Linked DNA regions of Drosophila melanogaster. The protein of the gene in region 4 interacts with the protein of the main gene of each other region in a biochemical or structural test. Each region holds a gene or a part of one and is shown on either strand. Other genes may lie near its edges. The genes, in order: cact, Dredd, dl and Rel.

Region 1 (4,581 bases), on a different chromosome or scaffold from region 4:
CGGCACAAATGCCGACGGATTGGATGAGTGTCTTGGGGGTGTGGCCCACAGCTAGAGCAACGTGCACGCTGTTTCTAATGCGCTTTTGCAGAGACTCCACCACCTGGGAAAGCTCCATTTTGGTTTCTATATATCTACCGGATCCGGTACCCGGAGGAGCACCCAACTCCGGTTCCAGAGGGCGGATGCTGATGATATTCACTGCCTTAGATAGCCAGTCGTTGACGCCACCACTCTTCTTATCCCACGCCGTGTGGGGCGAGTACAAGGCTATATCGTTGGCCAAGCATGCTGCCACCACGCGCTCCTTCCAATGTGACTGCGTAATCCTGGTCAGGGGCTTGAAAATTGGCGGATGATAGCTGATTATGAGCTCCGCCTCCTTCTCTAGCGCTTCTTTCACTACGGGCTCGGTTAAATCGTTAGTTAATAGTATTTTCTTGATTTGTTTTTCGCGGTGCGGTTCGATCAGGAGTCCCACATTGTCCCACTTCTCTGCCCAAGAAGTCGGAGCAAAGTTCTCCAGCTCCTTGACCACAGCCGCCAGCTTTTGACCACTAAAAGTGTTCATCCTTCTCAGCATTCCTTGACGTCCTTTGCAAAATATTTCTGGTCCTGCGTTTAAGATTTTGTGCAATTGACTTATTGGCCGGTAAGTGCTGCCAACTTAATTTTTGTTGTTTTACCTGCTCTTAAAATCATCTGTTATCACCCGCAATTTTTAAATTGGGCGATAAAGTAATTGGTTAATATTAATAAACATTAAAAAACACTACTATAATTTTATTAGCAGGTCACATTTTTGTTGCGTAATTTTGTTAGAAAAACATTTAATGAATATTTGGATTTTATAATAACGAGAATAGCAAAACAGTTTTAATAAAACGATAAAAGTTTATGTTATAGCAAACAAATAATTAGAAATTAACAAAATATTTAAAAAGTTTATATACCTTAATAAATTTATCAGATTGGCACCAAACACTTGTTTTTAATAGAAAAACGAACGCCTGATAAATAATAATTCAAGAAATTCAATCGGAAGCCGAAGAATTTAAATTTTAAAGAATAATTTAATTAAGTCATACAAAAGCAAAAAGCAAAACCCGACAAGGAAATGACCAAACCCCTAAAACTGAAGAGTAATTTACAAATTCCCAGCAATTTAATCAAAATTTTAGGAAACAAGTCCGATTTTTTAATAACCTATTTGTTATAATAAATAACTTTACAACTACGAGAGGCGGAATTTTAAATTTTAAATTAAAAAAGCGAGCAAAAACTTTCGAAACTACTTGTGACCGTAAACACAGGTTTTATGGTAAGAATCTGATAATCTTGTAAAGCCCCTCTAAATTTCTTGGATTCAGATAATTTTTTAATCAATACAACCTTGTAAAAACCAAAATAATCGTATATATAATATTTCATGAATTGGCGATAAAATGTGATTGAGTGTTAAAAAATCCCAGAAGGAGAGTGTATGACAAATCGGTCGCTCAGAATATCCCATGAAATTCAGAATTGGTCGAGGTTTCAATCGAAGCTGACCTGTGAAAAACCGAAGAAAGAATCCTGCATTTCATTTCCGTTCTCGGTCAGCGGGTGATTTCCCAGATATTTGTCCGCCTCGCCGTCATACGCATTTCAACCGTAGGACGCCGAGCATCAACATCAAGTGGCTTCGCTCGAGGAACTAAACAATCACACAATCAGAGAGTAAGAAGTATAAATAAACGCATCGCTGCTGTGGTTGCTTTTGTTGCAGCTGACCATTTAGCTGCTCATTTTGTTGTTGGGAGATTTTAACTTGGCGCTCTCCCTACTATCTGGCAACCCTATGGTCTCCCTCGCACACATGTAAAACTGATTTAAGCCCCGATTACACACTCCATCGTCGATATATTAAGGCAAACGTTTTCACTTCGGTCTTTTCAAGTCTAGAATTTTATTTTTTTTGGGCAAATATGAAAAAATAGATTTTTTTCAATTAACAGTTTTCTAAGTAAAGAAAATTTAAAATCGAGACTCTTCATTTCGTGATAACTCTTAGTGCAAACGGGGCTTTATAGTATAGACTGCCATATAAATATATACATATCAGCGCGCTCCCTCAATTTCATTCGCTATCGAAACGTGAAAGAAAGCAGACGTGCGTCCGGGTACTATGCGAATTGCAGATTACAAACATTTAAACCATAAATACGCGTTTTAAAGACAGCTTCGCAAGACAATTAACCAGCAAGGTAGTGAGAAATCCATAGAAAATAGTGCTGGGGTTTAAACCCAGAACATGTGCAGAAAATAAAAAGCGAAAAGGAAGCTGTGTGAAAAGGGAGATAAAAAATCTACCTCAGTGTGATTGTGGGTGTGTGCGGGTGAAACAACCGTGAAGAGGCAAATAAGACATTGGCAAATGGAAAAATCTAAAATTTTCAACCAGTGTGAAACCGTAATTTTTATTTTTCTGCGGCTACACTTGTACATAAGTCCATAAATTGCCTTTAATCTACAAAAATTATTGCGTTTTCACTTGTTCGCTGGAGCCTATATGTTTGTTTCACTCGCACCACCGAGGTGAGCGCTTACTGTGCGTGTGTATGTGTGTGTGTTTGAGAGACTGGGCTCAAAAGCAAAGTTCAAAACGACAGGAGTATATATATAACATATATACATATATTTTAGCCCAACTGAGAGAGGAAAAGCACGAAAATGCCGAGCCCAACAAAAGCAGCGGAGGCAGCAACAAAGGCAACAGCAACAAGTGACTGCAGCTGCAGCGCTGCCAGTGTTGAGCAGCGCGCCCCCTCAAACGCGGCTAACCCCTCGTCCTCACTAGCCACTAGCGGTAAAATTGGCGGCAAAACACAAGATCAAACGGCCGCCATTAACAAGCAAAAGGAATTTGCCGTGCCAAACGAAACCAGTGATTCGGGCTTCATCTCCGGCCCGCAATCCTCGCAGATCTTCAGCGAGGAGATAGTCCCCGATAGCGAGGAACAGGATAAGGATCAGCAGGAGTCGGCACCCCAAAAGGAACAGCCCGTTGTCCTCGATTCCGGTATTATCGACGAAGAAGAGGATCAGGAGGAGCAGGAGAAAGAGGAGGAGCACCAGGACACCACCACTGCCACCGCCGATTCAATGCGACTCAAACACAGCGCGGACACAGGCATCCCACAATGGACCGTCGAAAGCCATTTGGTCAGTCGCGGCGAACAGCTTAACAATCTCGGCCAGAGCAGCAGCACCCAAATCACCGGTCGCAGCAAGGTTCAATCCTCCACAGCCAGCACGGCGAACGCGAATCCTTCGGGATCGGGAGCAACATCATCCGCTCCGCCCAGCAGCATTAATATCATGAACGCCTGGGAGCAGTTCTATCAACAAAACGACGACGGCGACACGTAAGTAAACATTATAGAATCTCAGGAAATGTCACTTTATTCTAGACTTTCAAATTATTTATATATGTGCAAACCACATTTATAGATAACTTCGAATGTGTATTTTTAATGTGGGGAAATTCCCAAGTATGATTTAAACATTTTAGCGCCTTATCTCTAGGTCACTTTAAAAACTTTCCCATGCTTATTCTTAGACTAGCAATCATAAGAACTTTATATTTTAAATATTTTATACAATTGGACGGTATTTTTTGAAATTGGAAACGATTGATTATATTTAGACTGTCACAATCGCCAAAAAAAAATCTTTATTAGAATTTAGGTCTTCATGCTCTTAAAAATCAATTTAACATACTCATTGACAATTCACGATTAAAGATTTATAAGCACAGTCTTTGAATCATTTCCGAATTTCTATGAACTTATACGTGCCGTATTTCCGATGAGAATCCTAAAATTTCCCAAAATAACAAAGACAACGCCGCGTTGCACTGATGACCACCAAGCGAGCTAAGGGGAGAGTTTCGTGAATCACTCAAAGACGATTGTCTGAGGCGAGAAACGCGACTGACACATGTGTTTTAGTCAGGCTTTGGGGTTTTCCTGGTATGTGGGCAGGTACGGGAACAGGTTTTTCGGGGCACCTCTTCTTTCTTCACATTACTTTACCTCTACTTAACTTACTTGGGTTTTTACGCCGCCACATGAACGGCGACAAGTGTACAGGAAGGAAAGAAAGTGCGGGTGTTCGATCGCCAGGTAAAAGAAACCCACAAATTCATGTTGTTTTTTTTGCTCTCTCTCTCTCATTTCAGACCTTTGCACCTGGCCTGTATTTCGGGATCAGTGGACGTGGTGGCCGCCCTGATTCGCATGGCTCCTCATCCGTGCCTGCTCAACATCCAGAACGATGTGGCCCAGACACCCCTTCATCTGGCCGCTCTTACTGCCCAGCCGAACATCATGAGGATACTTTTACTCGCCGGAGCTGAGGTAATATTCAACAAAGATCGAATAAGAAGATTTAGATATTTGCATATTTGTAAAATCTAGCTTAATCCCCTATTGACGAATGTAATGTCATATCATCTTGATTTTCTAACAAAAGCTAATTTAAGTATTTATATTTGTAACAAAAGATTCCCATTACTCATTTGAATAGCCCACGGTGCGC
Region 2 (4,056 bases), on a different chromosome or scaffold from region 4:
GCCTCTCACTTGGACGTACAGAAAACACGCAGTTTTCGGCGGGCACAGATACTGAAGCTGCTCAGCGAGCAAGGTCGCCGGCTCGAAGTCGCTTTCAAGGACAACAACTCGTCTTCCAAGAAATTTGAGAAGCAGATAGCCAGATATGTAAATCAGCTAGAAACGAAGGCTAGCAGTTCCAAGGAACTCAATCTGCTGCTTAAGATCCTCGCCCAAGGAGGCGAGAAGTGGCAGAAACTGCGTGAACAAATTCAGCTCGTCGCCAAGGATCTTCAACCCAACAAGAAGGTGGCGAAGCAGAAGAAGCAGGCAGCCGCCAAACCTATGGTCGTGGAAGATGAAGAGTCCACATAACGTAAAAGAAGGAAACACCCCAATAAGAAACCTTACAATTAGATGTATAAATATCTTGCATAATATAGGATACTATTAATTTTTTTGTTCTTTAAAAAATTCTGACGAAAAGTACTAAATTAGTATTGAAGTCATTGAAAAAATAGCAAAAGTACACTAAACTTTATAAAAATGTATTTTTACCTTTATAGAGCAATTTGAGTGGACGTACAACTGCGCTAACGTTAAAAACCAAAATCACAGACGAGGTGGAAAGTACACGTGCTGGCGAAATGTGCTTTTAACATTCGGCACCATGGACTCGTCATTACTGCCTCGCTTTTTAGACACTTCGTTGGTGACAATCGTCAGGATATCGGCGATGTGTTCACTAAAGTAACAAAGAACAACTTATGCATTAATTCGGGGCTAGCTTGCTTTGGCAGCTTTTTACCTGGCGGAACGGCGATCGATGGCATCGCACAGGCTCCCGATAAACCAGCTACCTGTTTGGGTGTGGCGCAGAGCAGCATATCCATTTACCGTGGACATGGCCCGCAGCATGTCGATGTGCTGGTCCGGCGACACGGTGGTCACGTCTATCCTAAACTGAAAGAGGAATACGAAAATGTATAGGCTTTCCCATTCGACGACTTCATGCTTATAAATCTCCTTACGAGCTCATTTGGCTTCTTTTTATGGACAAGCTTCTCCTGGCAGGCTTGTATGATTAGCAACTTCGGTTTGTAGTACAGGGTGTCGTAGCTGCAGAGCAAGTCCTCGATATCCGTGATCTTCATGGCGATGCTGTTGGATGCGTAGACGGCCTCCTCGAAGCCGTGGCTCAGGATGAAGACCACTAGGGAATCGCGCACGAGCGATCTATCGCACGCACTGCGAATGCGCTCTATGATGCCCATGTGATCCACGTTGTCGTACGCCTCCACATTGTATCCCATCGAGGAAAACACCTCGATTAGTCGTTCTTTATCCACATCCGTGCCATCCCGTCTACGCAGTGGGTCGGGCGACAGAAATTTCTGTGGAGAAGGGCAATGTTGTACTTCTTTTTGTTACTCAATATTGCAGAGATGAAACCATATTATCCCTGCTAACATTCCGGTGAAACTTCTGCTGGTTGATAATCAAGGCGATTCCTGCGTTCTCCCGGGTCAACTTAAGAGCATCTATTTGTGTGGAACAGTACGACTGCTGGTTATCCGATTCAATCTCTTGCTTGACTGCCATCGCAGCAGTGCCAGCCGCATCTGGCTCCGGAGCGTTACTAATGATGGTGTCTTTGAGCAAATTTGCTTGCGCCTGCAGACCGTTGGACTTCAAATGGCCGACCAGCAGCTGAACATCGCTGCCTGCGGCATTTATGTCCCCTAACTTTATGCTCCTTCTGGTCAGCCAGTCCAGCAAAAAGATCTCCAGGTACGCGGGATCGTAGAAGCGAAGTGGATCTCCTGCCTGCTGGCTCTCCACCTTTTCGCGAACATCTAGGAGCAAGCGGCCACTCTGCACCAACGACAACTCCTCACACATCCTGTAGAGGCTCTTCAACAGAGGATGGACATGCAGCGTGATCCCAGCGATATGCGGCAAGTAGTGCATTCGCAGCTCCTGCCAGCAGAAACCCAGTCTCCGGAGCACCTTGCGGGCCCCAATAATGCACAGGGCCTCCACGAGATGTCTTCTCCAGGTTTCTGGCCGGGACTTGGCGAACTTTATGAGTAGATCACTTTGCGGGAAGTCTGATCGTGTCATGGCCAAAAGTTTCTGCAGAATGTAGGTGGCATCCGAGTGGTCGTCGCCATAAAGCAGAAAGCAGAGGCCCACCTAGAAGAAAACGAAGGTTCTACTGTTTAATTAACACTTTGGTCTAGCGGATGTGTAAAACATTTGAGTCATATTCGAAAAGTCCTCCCAGGGAGGTGCCATACCTTTTGGGCAAAGTTCATGTCACGTTCCACGTAGATCAGATCGTTCTGATCGATGGTGTCTAGATGAATCAACAGGTTTGATCCGGCCATGGCGATCGGGAATATACAAAAATGTTTCACTTTAGGAAATGGCCGATAAATTGCACTCGCTGACATCCGATAGCCGTGGCCTGAAGAGCTTCCACCGATCGATATCGATAAATGGATATGTTTTCTGCAATAGCGAAAGATCGGGGTGCTACCTATTAATTATACTTAAGAAACAGATGATGTAGTTTTTTGATATAGAAGTTTAACAACCGGTTCAACAATCGGTTAATATTTAAAAATGTCGCAGCCAGCGAGCCTTTAGCTTTAAAAGTAAGCTTGCGTTCACGGTTTTTGGGGAAATACCAAATATACTAGGTAAAAACATCGATTAACTAATATCATCCAACACGACGATATGTTCTTTGCGAAAAATATCGATGTACTGGTATTTTTATGTTTCCACACCTCTAGTTCGTTTAAGTCGATCTGTTGAACTGTTAACAACACAACTCCTGAATATTATGTTTTGGACGAAAAGTTTTATTAATTTAATGTTTTTGTATATTGTATTCTGTCCATGAGCGTAACAGAGACAGACAGAGAGAAAGGGACAGATACTGAGATACGGGGCCCTCAGGCAGAGAAAGAGGGCGAAAGCAAGCTACAAGCGGGTGCGAGCGAGAGCGCGCGCTTGCCTCACGCACATATATATAAATCTGTACATACATATAGTATCAGAAGAAAAAACTAAAGCCGCTATTCGATTTACGAAAACTGGCGAAAAATTCGACGATTTGTCTCGTACCTATCTATGTACCTCACAACCACTTCGTCATCAAATACGTATAAGTCAGATGTATGTCAAACATATATATACATATGCATGTATATACACATCTATGTGAGGCCACTGCTATATCCCATACATGTATGCCTCTATATATATGTATATATTTATCCACCTACTGTACCACTTCCACATTATGTAAGCAGCGACGCAAACAAAACACTAAAGCAGAAAATCCGAAAAGCAAAATGCGAAATGCAAAACAACGAACCAACAAAATCCCATCTATAAACCGAAAACCGAACAGCAATGTTATAACAAATACCGAAAAGTTGTTAATGTTCCACAAAAAAGCATAAAGCAGTCACGCTAAGAGAGTAAGATCGAACAAATGAAATGTTTGTATGGCATAAGTAGTTCCCAGATTTTTGTATGTACTTCAATGCATATGCATGTGTGCGTATGCATGTATGTATGTATGTTTCTCGGGGCCATGTCTCCCCACGCCCACGTACGTGGGTGCTAGAAAGGGACAGATGGTGCAAATTTTTTAAATTGCATACACTTGATTTTGGAACGCCAGCCAAACAAAAAGATAAATTGCGTGCTTTTCTTTTGCTGTTCGTATGTACGTACATATGCAAGTGGAAACTGCGCAGCAGGGAAGCCACACGCATGAACGCCTTCCATTTACAGAGCATTCAAACAAATCGTACCGAAAACCAAACAAAAACTTTCACCTCAAGTGTAACAATTATATTCAAATTCGCTTTGAAGTCGCTGTAAAATATATGTATGTATGTATAAACAAAGACAAAAACATTTTGCCTCGCAGTCGACACACACACGCGCACTCGCACTGCACGCCTCGGCTGTGTGTGTGTATGCCCTGCTTAGATCATGAGTGTGCGAGCGAGTCGACATGCTTGGCAATCGCGAGTCAGAACTAAACACGCGCTC
Region 3 (4,941 bases), on a different chromosome or scaffold from region 4:
ATACACGGGGTGCAAATGTACATATGTGTATGTACATGAAAATGACTGCCCCAGCACGTGTCAGCTTATAAGGGGGCAGGATCCATTAAAAATTACCTCGCGGGACTGGACGAATATCGCGTGATTTTCGTGGAAAACCCGCTGCAATTGGTTGCCGGCCTTGTGGGAGTGGGAGCTTCTCCATTCACCATTGTTTGATCGATGTCTGGACTCCATTAACCGGGTTGTTGTTCTACGTTCGTGCCATCAAGACATTGCGAGTTGACTTAGTCCCGCAATTCCCCCACTCCAATTCCACGGGCGGCGATGGCAATTGATGTGGAATTTCAATACTAACATTTGACATAATTCCTATTTATTTGCGCTTAGCTCACGTGCACTTATGTATGTATGTATGTTTACCAGGTGGCATGACCTTCGTGCCAGTGTGGTTTTGATAACGATTTACGATAATGGCGGAAAGTCCTTTTTTATGCATATGTACGTAGTATTGGGAAGAACTTAAGCATGTGGATTTTGTGTCACCGACCATCCAACTTTAATTAATATTATTTTTATTCTTATTTACTTATAAATTTTTCACAGTAATAAAATAGGAACATTTAGTACTTATTTGTAATTTTGTCATGAAATTATAAAAATACTACCTGGTTCTTTCGCATGTATTTCAAACTGATAATATTTCGTTTTCCAAATAATGTGACAATTATATTTTCTATTCATCGTTCATATTTAATAATTTGGTTTAATTAGCTGAAAAACCCAAAACATAAAAATCCTTATCTAACGTGCGACCACTTTTTAAGCGATGTATTCAATTATCAACTGTACTGACCCCCATTTCCCCAGAAGGTGAATCAGCAATATTATCAAATTCCGCGTAACAAGCCGTCTTGAATGTCAGAGGTCCTCCGCCCGGAAAGTGAAAGCTGCTCCGGAATGCTGAGCACGAAGCAAGTGAGTCACGGCATTGAGACTCTGCCGCAGTGGAAATTAATGCCACAACAAATGCCGGCGCAGGATATTATCCTTTTTCCAGGAATCGTACGCTGATTCAGACCCCCCAACCGCATGGGTGGGAGTGGGGTCTTAAATGGATAGCTCGCAGCCACACACACAGATAGTTAGTGCTCACCGTGCTGTTTCATTCATAAAAGCTGAAAAAGCTTTTCGGAGGCAGTCGCTCGTGGAGATGAGTCACATGTGAAAGACACTGAGATAAATGACGGAAGTTATTTTTTCCATTTATATTTTACTTTTCGTAAATATGCATATATAGTTGGAATATTCGGCTATTTAAACGAATCTCACATTGAAAATCGAATTCTTGATGATTGGTTACCATACAGTTGAATTCTCAATATTTAAGAAAAACAAAATATTTATATTTTCCGATTCCTTTGGGATGCTCCTAATAAAAAGATATGCATTTTCAATTAATTAGGTATTCCTTCAATATAATACGTGTTATAGATTTAAAAGGTGACACATTTTAAAAGCTTTTGAAAGAAACAACTGGCCTGCATTCCTACTAATCGGTATCAGTCAGATAAAAACATTTATATTATATGTATGTATATATTGTTTCGCCTTTATGCAATCATCGCGTATTCCTCGAAACTCGGATTTGTGGAAGATGTGGACATCTGTAAGCTATAAGTCGCAAGTGGAAAACTTCAATCGTACGTGACTCAGCACATGCTGATCTCGCACTCTTCGCCAAGCTAGGCTCTTCGGATTGTCTCTCTTCTGAGCTTAAGTCGAGACTGCAAAGAGCAGAGCTTGGGGCCGACTACTTAACTCCGTTGAAAGCTTCGCGATCTGCAAGTTTTGCGGTATTTTTCAGTGGCGCATACGGTATTGAAAGTTTGGCTCGCCTGTTTCTTCTTGGTGGGCAGTTAGTGTTCAAATCGCGGGCGTCGAGATCGGTTGGTAGTGCGTGTGTTACGGGTATTTTATCTCCACCTCCAAATTGTGCCTTATTTACCTTTTTCGCTGTGCTTTAAGCTTCCGCTCTCTTTCGCTCTTCTGGAGCTCGAAGGCAGGTTGAAATACCAGTAGATAAAAATAAAACGAAAAGTAAAAGAGCTGCATAAAAACGCATAAATTCAATTGAGCTCTAAGCAAGTTTCACTTGCTTTTTCGTATTACGAGTGACAAAAAAAAGAGACCCACCAATATAACGGAGGAAAAAACAAAAATAAAAAACTCGGCGCACGTATTGATAATTTCTATTAAAACTGAACGTTTACCGATTAGATTACACGGCACATCGACACTTTAACCACAAACATCGCAAGAATAACCAAAGAAAATGGAGGGCAGAGCGCGATAACAAATTACCCTAAATTATAAATCGAATAAATCGAAAAACAAAAACAAAAGGTAGTCGTACGTCGATGATCGCATAAGCATAAAGCCCGGAATTCCCTAGAAAAAATCGACGTCACGCGCTCTCTCGCGCTCTTTGCCCACTCTCTCTTTCTTCGGACTTCGATTTCTTAACTTTTCATTAGTTTCTGTTCGAACTGTTCTCCCCCATCCGTTGTTTTTGTCGTTATTATCGATATTATCGCACCCGCTTTGTGCGCGCGCAAAAGTTAAAAAAGAATAAAATAAGAAGAATCAGAAAGAGAGAGAGAGAGAGAGTGAGTGAGAAAGGGAGGGAAGAATAAATTATTTATATATAAAAAATAATAAATAAACCGGTTCCTGCCGTGCGTGCTTGTGTATGTGTTAACATTAACATGAAAAAAGCGCCATATTTCTCAACTATAAATAAATGGCTTATTTAGCTCGCTGTGCAACGGACTAATTTTCCAATTAACACAATAAGAAACTTAACAAATAATGTACATAAAAGTGTACTAATTGGTTCGCGTTGAATTTCAGGTGTCCGATTTACTTAGCAAACCCAGTGATATCAATGCATATAAGCGAGATTTCAGATCACTCCTTGACTTAGGTGAGTCCCCCTATAGAGCCTAGCTTAATTTATTGATTCTGAACATTGATTGCACGGATTAATAAAGTGCGGTGGAAAATCCTAATGGCTGCGTTTTGCGAGAAGGGTCTTGATATTTTAATAAATATGTACACAACTATTGCTTCCAAAGACGCAAAATGTCATTACAAAGAAACGCATCTTGCATTAAACATATTAAAAATATAACCTTATTGAGTCATTGGACGCCTTATCGTTTCGGAACAATGTTTACAGCAACAACATCGTGATTTATCAACCATTATTCACACTTTTAAGGTTTGATAAACCAAGACTGGTCACTTTTCTCGCATATTAATATTTTTCATCCTAAATAGTTTTAACATTTTGACAATGTTTAAAATTCCTGGATGCTAAGATTTGTAATAGCTCACAATTTCTGCATGACAAATAATAGTTAAGATGTTAAAAAAAAACTATTAGAACGTATTCAATCCTTTGTAGTGTAACCGCAGTTGTTGTTGTTGTGTTTTTTGGGTGGCAATTATCCACCTGCGTATTAAATAATCTACGGTGAATGCAAACGATAAACTTAAATAATACAACCGAAACACCTGTGTACATGGCAGCGCAGTCGCAGTGGCTTTTCGACGTCGCCATAAATGAAAGTTTCTTACGGGCACGTGGGTGGGCGAGGGGGGCCGTGGGGCCCAGAGGGGGTGGGGCTCGTGGAAAAGCTTTTGCCCCTTGTATTTATTTATTTTTTGCTGCCACTCAAATACGCCGGAGAGGTTTTCAATTGTTTCATTCTAAGATCGACTCGATGCGCCTGCGGTCGTGTTTGCGCTAACATTCTTTTATTTTTATTAAATATTTTTAAAATTCCCTAACGGTTCGATATTATTTTTAAGTAATAATTTGAAAAGTACCATTTTGAAAGAACAAACTGCGGTTAGTGTGCGTTTTGTGGCCCAAATAAAAGCAAAAAGTGAAACCGAATTCGTCATGAGTGTTCACTGGTTCTTGGTTTGATTCGCAGGTAATTATGAAGAATGAAGAAATGCTTTTAGCTGCTAATACGGTGTAAACTCGAAAAGTGCAACCAAGTTAAATGCAAACCGTGTGCTGACTCATAACATCAGACTCTCGTCTCCGGGACCAAAGAAAATCAAAGCGCTAAAATCGCTCAACTCGTTTCCAGCAAGTCATCGGCGATTTACAAAGCTCGAGTAGAGATTTGTGTGCTAACAGAGATCTAAGGCCAAGTCAATAGATAATATTGGTTATATCTACTGGTAGTTTCCCCGTATGCTAAATCCGAGTCATGATTGATACACGATCTGGCTGTGGGTAAGGCCCTCCGCTATGCAAATCATCAATCAATAGGGATTCTATTTTAGGCGAATATCATTTAAACCACTCGATAAGAAAGATCGTGGCCGTTATAATTGGAGATACGGATAAGATATGTATCTGCATTTTTGCCGGAAGTCACATGTGCACAATAATCCCTGATCGGCTAATTTAACAAACATTGTTTGGTGTGGAAAATAAGGATAATGGACTTGTATTCATACGATACAAAACATAGCTTTTGGCAACTAGTTCCATCGATTTGTCAGCATATCGGTTATTTATTTTTATTTGAGCTGTAAATTGCTTGACGCCAACGATCGTTAAAAAACATTTGTCTGTCTGGAGTTCTTGTTTTTTTTTTTTTTGCGGAACCCGTTTCACTGAGGAATTTTTGGCTGCTTCTGATGCTTTGATGTTGATCTTAATCTTAATTTGTGGTGCTGGCGCCAAAAGAACTTTTTTCTGTGTGTCTTTGCTATTGGAAATTGCATAAAATTAGCATGTTAAATGATCGAAACGAAATGTTCATTTTATTTTGTTTACTTACCTTTTTTTTTTATTTTTCGCCAAAAGTAGTTATCGTTGAACGAGTAGAACGTTATTTTATTAATTCATTTTATGGCTTAACAGCATAGACTTTT
Region 4 (6,101 bases):
GCAAATTGACGTCACCGGCCAACAGAATCCAACTTAATCTCCGAGTGCAGTAATCGGAAATCAGATTTCGTCATCCGCCGCGTCGAAGAAAAACAAACTATTGAAAAATAACTCGTGTCGGAAATTTTAGAACAGCAAATATTCCCAACCAAAATCGTAATCATGTAACTGGTAATAAAAGCAACAAAAGTTGTTCTCCACGTCTTTAAGAATTTCCTAAATAAATATTTGTGCACACAAGGCGAACTTTTAAAAATTTTCATGTTGAGAAAATAAAATATGTTCAATATGTGTTTAGCTATTTTCCGCGTTGTTTCAAAATCGAAAATCCATATATGCACATATGTATTTGTTCCGTTTTAAGCCATATTTATATGCACACAGTTCAAAACTTTTATCGACAAGTGTTTAAAGCTTTTAAGTCGCGCTCGCTCGCACACGCATATTTAGTGCGCTGAACCGAAAAGCTTTTATCCAAAATATACAAACACGTGCGAGGCTCATTCAGTGATCTGTTTCGTTCTATACAGTCCATCGGTATCCGACAATCAGTGCAGTTCGAATTTTCCACCAGGAAAATTTCGCAAAAGCCAACAAAAGAAGTCACAATAAGGTATGCTGCTAGTGAAAATTGGCTAACAAAAATCCATAAAAAATACATAATTGACCTTCAAAGAAATTTGAATAGGCGTTCTTAAGACACGTTTGCTTTTATCAAGCCAAGAAAACGAATTTTCCTTTGTCCGCATAAAGAGCTAATTTTGTAGCCTGCCTATTAATAACTCTAGTCTAGACGCAGACTAGTGGTTGCAAAGTCAAGACCCCGATTTGTTTATGTTTTTCCTGCTAATTGATTATCAATATAAACAAACTCATCGTCAACTGATAAGGTGTAAAAGCATTTACACACACACACCCACACACCTTGGCATGGTAACAAGAGTAAGAGAGGAACGGCGAAGTGAGAAGATTGATTAACACATCAAAAAGTGCAAAGGGATCGTAAATACATACATATATACTCTAAGTGCAGCCTGGCAACAGATCAGCTGTTTCTGCGTGAGTGTGCGTGTGTGTGTGCGCGGGTCCAGTGGGAGTGGAAACCGACTGAATTGCAAATTAGTTCAGTGGCGCATGCTTATGTAGTTTTTTTTTATCATTTAGCACAAGTGTCTTAGGATAAAAGAACATTCCGGTGTTTTAAATTTTCCAACCATGTTGCGACGTTCTATAGGATCCATTTCGGTCTTGGCTTCCCGGAATTACGCCGGAAAGTCTAACTTCAGGTGTGTATGCTCATAAGAAAGTGAATCGGGTCCGAAATAAAACGTAATATCATACGAAGAAAAACAAAGCGTGCGCTAGAGATGAGTGCGTGACGAAAGTGAATTAAGGGAAAAGCCAATGGAAAGCGTAAAAATATATTATTAATAATACTAATATTCGGTACTTGCATTGCATAATTATTATTATTTTATAACACAGTTATAAGTTGTTACGCCGGTTCTCATTATAAATTTGTATTAAAATTCCTTATATCTTTATATTTATATAAGTGTTGTATTATTTATATTAATATTTTGTATTATATACCTTTATATCTTTTTGTCGAAATAGGTTAAATTATATTTATAAAAATTAATCAAGAATAATGGGAACAAACAATCGCGTACGCTTCCATCCCTAGATTTGTAGAACATCTGATTGGGGCGTTGCCACCCAACTCGTTTTATCTGCCGGTGGCAGCTCTGCCTTGTTTTTATTTTAGTGTGCGCGGTGTGTTGAAATCAGGTATTCAAATAAATGAATTTGAACCGTAGTTTCCGTGAAAAGCTGACCCGAAAGCTCGGCGCAAATAGCTTAAACCTGTTATCAGGGCAGCGAGCGTTTTGCTCGCAACTCGTGAGCGATACTACTTGTGTTCGCGCAGTGCTTCGTTCATTTTCGTTCCAGCAGTGGCGCACTAAAGTTCCCCGATTCGCTGCGTCGTTTTTCCATAAATTTGCATATATGTATTAGTTGGGTGGAATACATATAAACAGTGTGATTTCGCTCTGTAAACAACAACCGCGAATCCAGAATTCCGTACATGCTTATAGTATAGCCGATCAAAAAAATCACACTGAGTGGTGCGCCAGAAAAACCCGTGAGTCATCTCGACGTGGCCGCCGCAGATAATTTCCCATCCGCCGAACATCGGGGAAGTACCTAAAACGAATGGTCAGCCATCGGCGGAGCTCGTTTCGATCATTAGCGTTCCGATCGGCGAAGGCAGCGGATCACTTTTGAGTTGTTAAGACGCTATTGATCAGAAATATTGGATTGATACGGACTATGAACATGAATCAGTACTACGACCTGGACAATGGGAAAAATGTGATGTTTATGAACGATGCATCCAGCACCAGTGGCTATAGCAGCAGTACATCACCCAACTCCACCAACCGATCCTTTTCACCAGCCCACTCCCCGAAAACCATGGAACTGCAAACGGACTTCGCCAATCTTAATTTGCCCGGCGGCAATTCACCACACCAGCCGCCAATGGCAAACTCACCATACCAGAATCAGCTGTTGAACAACGGCGGAATTTGCCAATTGGGTGCTACCAATTTAATAAACTCCACTGGCGTTAGTTTCGGCGTTGCTAATGTCACCAGTTTTGGCAACATGTACATGGATCACCAGTACTTTGTGCCCGCTCCGGCCACTGTGCCACCGTCCCAAAACTTTGGATACCATCAAAATGGCCTGGCATCTGACGGCGATATCAAACACGTGCCGCAGCTGCGGATCGTTGAGCAACCGGTGGAGAAGTTCCGCTTTCGGTACAAGAGCGAGATGCATGGAACACATGGATCGCTAAATGGCGCCAATTCGAAGCGGACGCCCAAAACCTTCCCGGAGGTTACACTGTGCAACTACGATGGACCCGCCGTCATCCGGTGCAGTTTGTTCCAAACTAACTTGGACAGCCCACATTCCCATCAGCTGGTCGTGCGCAAGGACGATCGGGATGTGTGCGATCCGCATGATTTGCACGTGTCCAAGGAGCGCGGCTATGTGGCGCAATTTATCAACATGGGCATCATACACACCGCCAAGAAGTACATATTCGAGGAACTGTGCAAGAAGAAGCAGGATCGCCTGGTCTTTCAGATGAACCGCCGCGAGTTGTCCCACAAACAGCTACAGGAACTGCATCAGGAGACAGAGCGTGAGGCCAAGGACATGAACTTGAACCAGGTGGGTAAACCAGCGCGTAAACAATATCGAGTTGCTTGCTTCGATGAGGTGAATATGCACGTTTGCATTTATTATTCACACGTTTAATTGCTCACTTTAGAATGCTTTAGTCAATTAATTATAGGTTGCATTTGCTACCTTTTAATCTTTTTATTTAAGCAGTCTGTAAAGTATCTACTCGTTTAGCTCGAATTATATAAATTTCTCTGCTAAAATAACTGAGCAATATAACATCGAAGCAATTAACTTACTGAAAAGCAACAAAGAACTCACTAAAAAAGTAACACCAACTTTAGGTGCGGCTCTGCTTTGAGGCCTTTAAAATTGAGGACAACGGCGCATGGGTTCCACTTGCACCGCCTGTATACAGCAATGCAATCAATAACCGCAAGTCGGCACAAACTGGAGAGCTTCGCATCGTCCGCCTGAGCAAACCCACTGGCGGGGTGATGGGCAACGATGAGCTTATTCTACTGGTGGAAAAGGTCAGCAAGAAGAACATTAAAGTGAGGTTCTTCGAGGAGGATGAGGACGGGGAAACCGTGTGGGAGGCATACGCAAAGTTCCGCGAATCGGATGTACACCACCAATATGCCATTGTGTGCCAGACGCCTCCGTACAAAGATAAGGACGTGGACCGCGAGGTCAACGTGTACATCGAGCTCATTCGTCCCTCCGACGATGAGCGCTCATTCCCGGCGCTGCCCTTCCGCTACAAGCCACGGAGCGTAATTGTGTCGAGGAAACGCCGACGAACCGGGTCCTCTGCCAATAGCAGCAGTTCGGGAACAGAAAGCTCTAATAACTCGCTGGATCTGCCCAAAACGCTGGGCTTGGCGCAGCCACCAAATGGCTTGCCAAACCTTTCACAGCATGATCAGACTATAAGTGAGGAGTTCGGACGCGAAAAGCATCTAAATGAATTTATTGCTTCCGAAGATTTCCGCAAACTTATCGAGCACAACTCTTCTGATCTCGAGAAGATCTGCCAGTTAGACATGGGAGAGTTGCAGCACGATGGTCATAACCGGGCGGAAGTGCCATCGCATCGAAATCGTACAATTAAATGCTTGGATGACTTATTCGAAATTTACAAACAGGACCGCATATCGCCAATAAAAATCTCGCACCACAAAGTGGAGAAGTGGTTTATCGAGCATGCTCTGAATAACTACAATAGAGACACGCTCCTGCACGAAGTGATCAGCCACAAAAAGGACAAACTGAAGCTGGCCATCCAGACGATACAGGTGATGAACTACTTCAATCTGAAAGATGTGGTCAATAGCACTTTGAATGCGGACGGTGATAGTGCCCTGCATGTGGCGTGCCAGCAAGACCGAGCGCACTACATACGACCTTTGCTGGGTATGGGATGCAATCCAAATCTGAAGAATAATGCCGGAAATACCCCACTGCATGTGGCCGTCAAGGAGGAGCACTTAAGCTGCGTGGAAAGCTTCCTTAATGGAGTGCCAACCGTACAATTGGACCTCTCGCTAACGAACGACGATGGTCTGACGCCTTTGCACATGGCCATTCGACAGAACAAGTACGATGTGGCCAAGAAACTGATCAGCTATGATCGGACCTCGATTAGCGTGGCCAACACAATGGATGGTAATAATGCACTCCACATGGCAGTTCTGGAGCAAAGTGTGGAGCTATTGGTGCTCATTCTGGATGCCCAAAATGAAAACCTTACCGACATCCTGCAGGCACAAAATGCAGCCGGCCATACTCCCTTGGAATTGGCCGAACGCAAGGCAAATGACCGGGTGGTCCAGCTGCTGAAGAATGTGTATCCGGAGAAGGGAGAACTGGCCATGACCTGGATTCCATGTAAGGTCAAGGAGGAGATCGATTCATCGTCGGACGAAAGTAGCGATGCTGGTCAGCTGGAGATCAAGTCCGAGGAGATGGACATCGAAACAAAGGACGAGGATTCCGTGGAGTTGGACCTAAGTAGTGGTCCAAGAAGACAGAAAGATGAATCCAGTAGAGACACCGAAATGGACAACAACAAATTGCAGTTGCTGCTCAAAAACAAATTCATTTACGACCGGCTCTGTTCGCTGCTGAATCAGCCTTTGGGACATGGGTCCGATCCCCAAGATCGGAAATGGATGCAACTAGCCCGCCAGACGCATCTGAAGCAGTTCGCCTTTATATGGCTGGGCGCGGAGGATCTGTTGGATCACGTGAAAAGAAAAGGAGCCTCTGTAGAGTTTTCCACATTTGCTCGTGCCCTGCAGGCAGTGGATCCACAGGCTTACGCCCTACTGGTTAACCCAACTTGATTATGTATTGAATGTTGATCAATAAAGTACCTTAGTTTTACAAATACTATTCTCTTGTGGAATGAAAAATACGCGAAACTAGGATGCCTGGGATAGCAAGCTTTATTTTTAAATATCAGAGCATTAATTTATTTTCCTTTATTAGCATTTATTTAGTTTCCTTTATTATTCCATGGAATCTATTCTTTAGAATAGTTCTATAAGCAATCTAAACTTGTTCCCTCAAACAATTACCATCGGCGCCCTGCATGAGATCACTAGCAAAAGGGGATCCATCGATAGCTCGGCATTAAAAAGTACATTCTAAGAATGGGGAATCACTAATTTTTCATTGCCGCTCGCGCACGCCGCTTGGTAAACAAGTGGGTGAATCATACATGTACTTATGCGCCTAAGTGTGTGTTGTGGGGGAATTACTGTTGCGTAACTGCAGTGACAGGCGGGGATTTACCGACAGCCCTTATCATTCCCGGTTTATGACCTTTCCTGCTATATTTTTTCAAGAATATCGCAACTAAATAATGTTTTAAGGAATAGTACAGTGTAATCTCATTC

What was found.
Region 1: the proteins of Rel (region 4) and cact form a complex in vitro, tested with the Drosophila melanogaster proteins (one study listed by BioGRID).
Region 2: of the proteins of Rel (region 4) and Dredd, one has a biochemical effect on the other in vitro, tested with the Drosophila melanogaster proteins (2 studies listed by BioGRID).
Region 3: the proteins of Rel (region 4) and dl form a complex in vitro, tested with the Drosophila melanogaster proteins (one study listed by BioGRID).

Annotation. Positions count from the first base shown.
Region 1 is NT_033779.5:16,323,159-16,327,739, reverse strand, and holds the start of cact (cactus), read left to right. Parts: upstream 1-1,532; 5' UTR 1,533-1,719; intron 1,720-2,114; exon of another isoform or gene 2,115-2,246; intron 2,247-2,319; exon of another isoform or gene 2,320-2,685; 5' UTR 2,686-2,712; coding exon 2,713-3,407; intron 3,408-4,222; coding exon 4,223-4,400; intron 4,401-4,569; coding exon 4,570-4,581. Other genes in the region: CG4278 (uncharacterized protein), read right to left, coding at 1-583. UniProt on the Drosophila melanogaster protein: Involved in the formation of the dorsoventral pattern. It inhibits nuclear translocation of the dorsal morphogen in the dorsal region of the embryo. Acts as a negative regulator of the NF-kappa-B (rel) signaling pathway.
Region 2 is NC_004354.4:633,115-637,170, forward strand, and holds Dredd (death related ced-3/Nedd2-like caspase), read right to left. Parts: upstream 2,432-4,056; 5' UTR 2,370-2,431; coding exon 2,280-2,369; intron 2,195-2,279; exon of another isoform or gene 2,176-2,194; coding exon 1,432-2,175; coding exon of another isoform or gene 1,411-1,431; exon of another isoform or gene 1,374-1,410; coding exon 1,011-1,373; intron 943-1,010; coding exon 788-942; intron 725-787; coding exon 592-724; 3' UTR 508-591; downstream 1-507. Other genes in the region: Mybbp1A (MYB binding protein 1a), read left to right, coding at 1-354. UniProt on the Drosophila melanogaster protein: Effector of the programmed cell death (PCD) activators rpr, grim and hid. May play an apoptotic role in the germline as well as soma. Fadd interacts with Dredd to promote cleavage of Dredd and is necessary and sufficient for enhancing Dredd-induced apoptosis.
Region 3 is NT_033779.5:17,447,320-17,452,260, reverse strand, and holds the start of dl (dorsal), read left to right. Parts: upstream 1-1,896; 5' UTR 1,897-2,385; intron 2,386-2,892; 5' UTR 2,893-2,965; intron 2,966-3,750; exon of another isoform or gene 3,751-3,983; intron 3,984-4,941. UniProt on the Drosophila melanogaster protein: Embryonic developmental transcription factor. The lateral or ventral identity of a cell depends upon the concentration of this protein in its nucleus during the blastoderm stage.
Region 4 is NT_033777.3:9,043,669-9,049,769, reverse strand, and holds Rel (relish), read left to right. Parts: upstream 1-1,792; 5' UTR 1,793-2,334; coding exon 2,335-3,246; intron 3,247-3,542; coding exon 3,543-5,546; 3' UTR 5,547-5,587; downstream 5,588-6,101. UniProt on the Drosophila melanogaster protein: Transcription factor that plays a key role in the humoral immune response as part of the peptidoglycan recognition protein (IMD) signaling pathway.